Coturnix japonica: one gene and its partner. The protein of the gene in region 1 interacts with the protein of each later gene in a biochemical or structural test. Links are inferred from orthologs where the notes say so. Each region holds a gene or a part of one and is shown in the gene's direction. Other genes may lie near its edges.

The links.
Region 2: the proteins of HIP1R (region 1) and CLTB form a complex in vitro, tested with the Homo sapiens proteins (2 studies listed by BioGRID). The link is inferred for Coturnix japonica from reciprocal best matches to the Homo sapiens genes HIP1R and CLTB.

What each region holds. Positions count from the first base shown.
Region 1 is NC_029530.1:4,488,019-4,491,415, reverse strand, and holds the end of HIP1R (huntingtin-interacting protein 1-related protein), read left to right. Parts: intron 1-11; coding exon 12-42; intron 43-175; coding exon 176-238; intron 239-701; coding exon 702-802; intron 803-1,043; coding exon 1,044-1,149; intron 1,150-1,274; coding exon 1,275-1,398; intron 1,399-1,497; coding exon 1,498-1,559; intron 1,560-1,704; coding exon 1,705-1,971; 3' UTR 1,972-1,993; coding exon of another isoform or gene 1,994-2,041; 3' UTR 2,042-2,849; downstream 2,850-3,397. UniProt on the Homo sapiens protein: Component of clathrin-coated pits and vesicles, that may link the endocytic machinery to the actin cytoskeleton. Binds 3-phosphoinositides (via ENTH domain).
Region 2 is NC_029528.1:12,197,691-12,201,438, forward strand, and holds the start of CLTB (clathrin light chain B), read left to right. Parts: upstream 1-1,184; 5' UTR 1,185-1,265; coding exon 1,266-1,449; intron 1,450-3,036; coding exon 3,037-3,083; intron 3,084-3,748. Other genes in the region: FAF2 (FAS-associated factor 2), read right to left, coding at 624-686. UniProt on the Homo sapiens protein: Clathrin is the major protein of the polyhedral coat of coated pits and vesicles.

The sequences.
Region 1 (3,397 bases):
TTTCCCTACAGGATTCTGAACTCCTGCACGGACTTAATGAAGGTCAGTGCTGCAAGAGCTGAGCTTCTTCTCAGGGGATCAGAAACCACACAGACATCACTTAAAACCACTAGCAAAATCAGACCTTCTGTATAAAATCCCATCCGCCCCCTAAACTTGTTCTTCCCCATTCCAGGCTATTAGGCTTCTTGTAATGACCTCAACGAACTTACAGAAGGAGATTGTGGAGAGCGGCCGGGTAAGTCCTCCCTTCCACTCATCTCTGTGCTCTTGATGTGAAATACAGAATTTTCTACAATTTGTAGGAGAAAAACAAACAAACAAAACACAGCTGAATTGTGCACTTTTTATACCCAGGCCAAATTTGGAGCACCAAGCTTGTAATGTTTGGGTTTAAGCAAGTCAGTGAGAGCATCCTGAAGGGCACAGAAGTGCTGCCAGTCCCTGGACTTATGGGTTTATATATAGTGTTCCGTATTGCTAGATGTGGTATTTTTAATTGATTTTTTTAATACGATGTATGGATTTTTATATAGTTCCATAGAAGCATAGAACTGTTTGAGTTGGAAAGGACCCACAAAGGTCACCTAGTCCAACTCCCCTGTAAAAAACAGGGACACCTACAGCTCGATTGTGGATTTATTATAAGCATACATAGTGGAAAGAAGTTAAAGTAGGCTGTAATATTCTCATAACAACAGGGGGCAGCAACAACTCAGGAGTTTTATGCCAAGAACTCCCGCTGGACAGAAGGGCTGATCTCTGCCTCCAAGGCCGTGGGCTGGGGAGCCACACAGCTCGTGTAGGTACCGCAGCACCGCATACACACAGAGCTGGGCTGGGGGTGGTTGGGGTCAGGGCACAACATCCCTGAGCTGTGAGAGTGGAAAGTGTGGGGTTCGTTTGGATGTTGATGTCTGAATGCCATCAGTTGATGATGACTCAAAGCCGATTCAGTCAGTGCTGATTTCTAAGGGCACGGTGGGATGCACGTACCCCACACTTGTAGTGCATCTCTAACGTGATCTCCCTTCCAACTGCAGGGAGTCCGCAGACAGAGTTGTCCTGCAGACAGGCAAATATGAAGAGCTGATCGTCTGCTCCCATGAAATTGCTGCCAGCACGGCCCAGCTGGTGGCTGCCTCCAAGGTGAGCTCCCTGCTTTTTACATCCACCTGGTGCGATGTGTCCCTGCTCTCAGCAGGGTTTGGCCGCTTTGTTGGCATCGGCCGTTCTCATTTGGGGACCTGCAGCCATCAGAGTGCTCGTTACAGGTGAAAGCAGAGAAGAGCAGCAGGAACTTGGGCAAGCTGCAGGAGTGCTCCCGCAACGTCAATGAGATGGCAGCCAATGTGGTGGCCTCCACCAGGTCAGGGCAGGAGCAGATTGAGGATAAAGGTGAGGTTTGGTAGAGCAGAAAGGAAAGGGTGAGGAGGAAAAACCAAAACCCTCTATTTCCATTGTGGCTTGGCAAACACTCCCTGCTTTTCTCCACAGACACCATGGACTTCTCGGGCATGTCCCTCATCAAGCTGAAGAAGGAGGAAATGGAGACACAGGTAAAGCCTCATAGAATCAGTAAGGTTGGAAGAGCTGTAAGATCACCGAGCCCAAATGCAGCCCACCCACCACCTCTCTCTGAGTGCCTCGTGTCCCTGAGGCAGACCAGGGATGTGAGGACCCAGGTGGGCTCTTGTGGTGCAGGTGAAGGTGCTGGAGCTGGAGAAGCGCCTTGAGGGTGAACGGGTGCGTCTGGGTGAGCTGAGGAAGCAGCACTACGCCTTGGCTGGGCCCTACAATGCAGAGGAGGATGGGGAGACACGGCCAGCACCAGCCCCCAGGAGAGGCATCCTCAAGAAGCCGGCCCTCGCCCAGAAACCCAGCCACCTTCCAGGGCCAGGAGAGGAGGTAGTAGGGGCAGCAGGATGGGAGCACGGTGCTGGGGACATGGCTGTGCCACAGGAGCTGTGAGCTGTGTCCCCTCTCGTTGCAGCCTGAGCGTGACACCAGCCTGCACCGGGCACACGCCGTCAACTTCTAGTGGGACGGACGGGGCCAGGCCTCCGCCATCAGAGCTCTTACATCTGTGTTTTAAACAGATCGCCTTGCTTCTGGCGTGCCTTCATGCGCGGGGTTCTCCTCCTCGCCCGGCCTGAGAAACTGGAATTATTTTTCTTTTTCTTTCAACCAAAAACTTGATTTTTGTTCTATTTTTTTCCCCCTCAGTCCCTGGCCATAGAGCAGTTGGGCTCCCAGCCCCGCAGCTCGCTTGGTTTAATTTAATTTGGGACCTATTTGGGTTGATTTATTTTGGGTTTTTTAACTCTCTCAGCACTAGAGGCCTCCAGTAAATGTAGCTGTACTGCACTGCTCGGACCCTTCTGAAGAACGCGAGTTGTTTTTGAAGTAGGAAACTGTTGGGCTTTTCTTGCACCTGTATTTTTTATTTAACTTCCCCTTCTTGGAGTGTTTTGACCTCGTTTTGGTGTGGGATCAGCTCTCAGCAAAGAGGGGAACGTCTCTTTAACTGGGCTTTCAGAAGGGAGAAAGCAGTTCCTGGCACACACTGGCAATAAGGATACAAGCATCTTTTTATTTCCTTTTCTATGTTTTATTACTACAGCAACAGCAGAGGAGCAGTTGCATTATGTTTTATATTTAAGATGATTAGCAGAATTAAATGTAAATGTGGCCTGCAGGAGCCCAGGGCCGTTAGATGTGGCGAATTCTGCAGCAATAAGGAAACTGATGTGAGGAGACAAGGGGGGGCAGAGGAAACACAGCTGGCTCATCTTCTCTTTGAACTGCTACTGGATGTAGATTATTAAAGCAGCAATATTTAAACTGTGTGCAGTGCTCTGTCAGCAGCATTGTTGGCACTAAGGGCGTGGGGCTTCAAGATGAAGGGCTACAGGAGAGCAGGGGGCTGGGGATGCTGCTGGGAGCCAAGGGTGAGTGGAGTTGTAGCATCACAGGGCTTTGAAAAGGCCTCTGAGAGCACCAAGTCCAAACCCCAGCCCATCCCCACACACTGACCCCCATCCCTCAGCACCCCTAGGGATGGTGACCCCACCACCTGGCAATACTAACAAATACATATCTGTATACAGAAGGTGAGCCAAACCTTCCCAGTTCTGCACCACAAACCTCAGTGCAGGGTTATGAGCAGCCATTGGGTGCCACACACACAGCAGCCCAGCACTGCGCTTGGTTTCGTTTCTGCAACCTGTTCTCTACCTACAAGGAAATGCTTCCTGCAGCAGTTTCTACTCTATTTATAGGTGGTGATAAAGGTGTGTTTGCTGAGAGGCTGATGTCATCCTGACTCTCTTGGCAGTACCTTTCATCAGGGAAATACTGATTAGCCAGGAATGCTAAGTTTAAACCTCAGGACCAT
Region 2 (3,748 bases), on another chromosome or scaffold:
CGTTGTCTGACAACACAACAGGTGAATTACTTTTCCCCCGAGCAGCCGCAGCAGTTCAGCTTTAGGGCAGTTTTCACCCCAACAAACACATCTGTCAGTTGCCTCTTTTGGGTCCCCTGCAGAGCAGAGGTTGGGACTAGCTCACGTCATGCAGTGGGATGAGATCACCGCAATCCCCAGCGGACAGCACCACACTGGATGTGTGAGATACGGCTGGTTCATGGGCTGGACTCCATAGAAACTCACGGACTAATTGACTGTGCCAGGAAGGCCTCGTCACTCCCCGCTATGAACAAAGGGCCGTTTGCAGCTCACCTGATTCAAACGGCCGGGCCTGTGTTCACTCAGCGCTCATTTCCTGCCTTGCTAACGAAGCACTGAGGGCACAGCCCTGAACAAAGCCCCGGACTAACACATCCCCAATGGAGTCTCACACTTGTCCCGTACCGAACACCGGGACACCGAGCACAGGCCGCTCCCCTCTCGCCTCCAGCCCAGCCTGGGCCCCGCACCCCGGTACAGCCGCACTCTCTCCAGGCAGGGCCCGTATGAACCCCCAGCCCTAACGCAGGCCGGCAGCAGCCCGGAGGCGGCAGGACGGGCCGGTGTCCCCTGCACAGCACCTGGAATTGTAGCAGCTTCTCGGTCTGTTCCGCCGTCAGCTCCCGCTCCTCAGGCGCCGCCATTTTCCTCCGCCTCTGACCCGCCGCTCCGTCACCCACCGGAAGTGACGCAGCCCGCTCGCACTTCCGCTCGGCTGAGCGGCCGGCTGCCGTTCGTCGATCGTGACCGGAAATGTACGAGTACTTTCCGGAGATTGCCGAAGCACTCTCGGAGCTGTCCGGAAATAGCCGAACTCCATTCACAGTGACCGCGTGCTCGATCCTCCCTATTGGCGCACGAAGATTCCCGAAGGAGCCATTCGGCTATTTCCGGAGATGGCCGGTAACACCCGCTCAACAGCCCGCGGGCGGTGGCCCCACCCAAGATGGCGGAGGCGGAGCCCGCTCCAAGATGGCGGCCGCCAGCGGTGTGTGCCCCGAGTGTTCAGAGCCCAGCCGACCCCTCGGCCGGCACAGAGTGCGGGCACTATAATGGCAGCCCCAGCTCCTACAGCGTGAGGGGCGATGAGATGATGCTGAGTTGTGGGAGGGGGGAAAGGGGAGGAGGGAAACGGGGCCGCCCCTCCGTGATGTCAGCGCCGTGGCCCCGCCCGCCGCCGCCGCAGTGACAGCTCCGGCCGGGCCGAACCGAGCGGGCGGGTCATGGCCGACGACTTCGGCTTCTTCTCCTCGTCCGAGGGCGCCGGGACCGAGGAGGATCCGGCCGCCGCCTTCCTGGCCCAGCAGGAAAGTGAGATCGCGGGCATCGAGAACGACGAAGGCTTCGGGCCCAACGACGGAGACTCGGCCTCCGCCCCCGCAGGGCAGGGCGCCCCAACGGAGCCGGGTGAGCGCCGAGCAGCACCGGGCGGGGCCTCCGCCGTGAGCACGGGGTGGGAGATGGGGTATAAAGGGGGGCTGGGCCCCGGGGCTTTGCCCCACCAAAGGGTGGGGGGGCCCTCCGGTGTATTCGAGGTTCCCCCGAGGTTGGGGGGTCGCTGAGGTGGGATGAGACATCCGTGTTCGGCTGGGTGGCCTCATGGCTGCACTCATAGGCAGGAGAGCGCTTTGGGGTGTAAAATGGAAGGCGTTTCCATTGTGAACATCACGGTCCTAGGCCCAGCAGGTAGAAGGCATTAATCCTGATCTCAAGCCTCCATATGAGCCCCAGCCCTGCTTTTAGGGGCTTCAGTAGATAATAGGAGCTCAGTGGTCTGTTATCCGCAAGGACAGAGATACAACACTGTCCTCTTGCTTCTGCCCGCAATGCAGGGAGGCCCCCAGGGCCTCTTTGGCCTGTCTGTAGAATGGTGGTTTCAGCTCTACTTACAGAGTCAGATCTGGGCCTAGGGAGCTGCTGCCAGCCTCCATGCTAAATGCAGTCATGGAGCTGGATGTAGTTGAAGCTGCGGGGTGAGCACCGTGGGGACAGTGCTACCTTGAGGTACTCTAGTGCTATGGCTGTATGTGCCAGCAGGCCAGCAGAGGCCCCGTGTTTGAGCATGGTCATCATTGGAGAGAGCTCAGGGCCTGAAGTCTTTCATCAAAGCTTCTTTACCCAGTGGCAGAGGGCCACATGCAAGGCATCAGTATGCAGCTCTTGGGGCTGAGAGGGAGAAGGATTGTGCTGCACTGTTGCTGTGAGCTTTGTCCCTGGCGGTGCTGCATTCCTGTCGCAGGCATAGAGCAGCTCTGCCTCTGCTGGGCACTTGGCTGACAGCTTCTGGGTCACCCATCTGTGTGCTGAGGGAGGCAGCTGCTGCCTTTTACAGAGCTGAAGTTGGTTGTTTTCTTACAGCCAGAGCATGATGTCCAGCCCTGTGCCTGGGGGAGTTTCCCTAATCTTCAGAAAAGATTAAAAAGAAAAAGCAGTGCAAACACTATAAAGACATAGAGTGCCCTGGAAGTTTTGTCTGGGAAAGAGGTGCTGGCTGAATCCCTCCAAGGACGGGAGGCCACAGCCTGGCCCAGATCCTGCCTCAGGAATGGCAGGAGTCCCCACGCATTCTCTGCAGCAGCAGCTCGGGGAGGGTTTGTTGTGTTAATGGCTCTGGACTGTAGAGCAGCACACTGTCCTCTTCCCATCGCTTTCCTGAACAGTCTGTATGAAGCAAAGGGGATCTGGGGTCCTGCTACAACTGGACAGGGACAAGTATGTTGGGAATGTGTCCTCCTCTGGATACTGAAACCTTGCTAGCCCTAACTTGAGCTCCAGCACACCAGCACACAGCTCTGCTGATGTCCATTACTTGGACCAGCATAGGATCTTTAGTCTGGGACCCATATATGTGAGTCTGTTGTGGATAGTAGTATTGGGTTGGGAATGGCACATCTGCATCCCCAAAGAACTGGCTTGTTTCTGTCTCGTGAACCCCAGCTCCTCCAGGATCATTTCAGTTGTCACAGTTGTGTTTTTCTTCCTTATTTTTTCTAGCTGGTTTCCAGAATGGAGGAGCCACTGTCAATGGAGATGTTTTTCAGGTGAGAGCTCAGGCCCATGTTCTGGCCTGGTGGTACCAAGGAGGATTAGGTGGGTGTGGGGGGAAGATTGCAAACCCTCTGTTCTCTACAAACTCCTCTTTTTCCAGCCTGGAAATCTCTTGGAGGCTGTCAGGGATGTTTGAGAGCATCTCCTGACTGAGTCCAGATCCAGGACAGGGTTTCCAGAGGCGCCTCCTCTGCTAACACATGGCTGTAGCCTTGCCACCAAGTCCAGCAGCGTCTCTCATTAAACTTGCATTCCCCACAGCTGAGGGTGTTTCAGGGGGACACCTGTGTGGGTCTCATCTCCTTCTGGGACCATGTAGCCAAGCTGTGCAGGGTACAGGAGAAGCTGTGCCAGCTCCTGACAAGCCCCCTGTGCTTTGTCTGTGTGTAGTCTACAGGATGATAATCACATCAGATCAGAGATGGGATACACTTAATTAGATTGTGGATCTTGGAGGAGAGCCGTAATCCTCTTGCTTAGCTCCATGTCAGCCAGCAGAAGGGTTTAGGAAAGGTGTTGATGTGGCACACAGCGTGATGCTGGGCCTGGTGGGAGCTGTGCAGGCTGCTCAGCTTGGAGAACCACAAGAGGGTCCCGCTTGTGGGCTGGTGGCAAAACAGAGAGCAGTGTACTTACGGGCCCTGACTCAGCTGGGCTC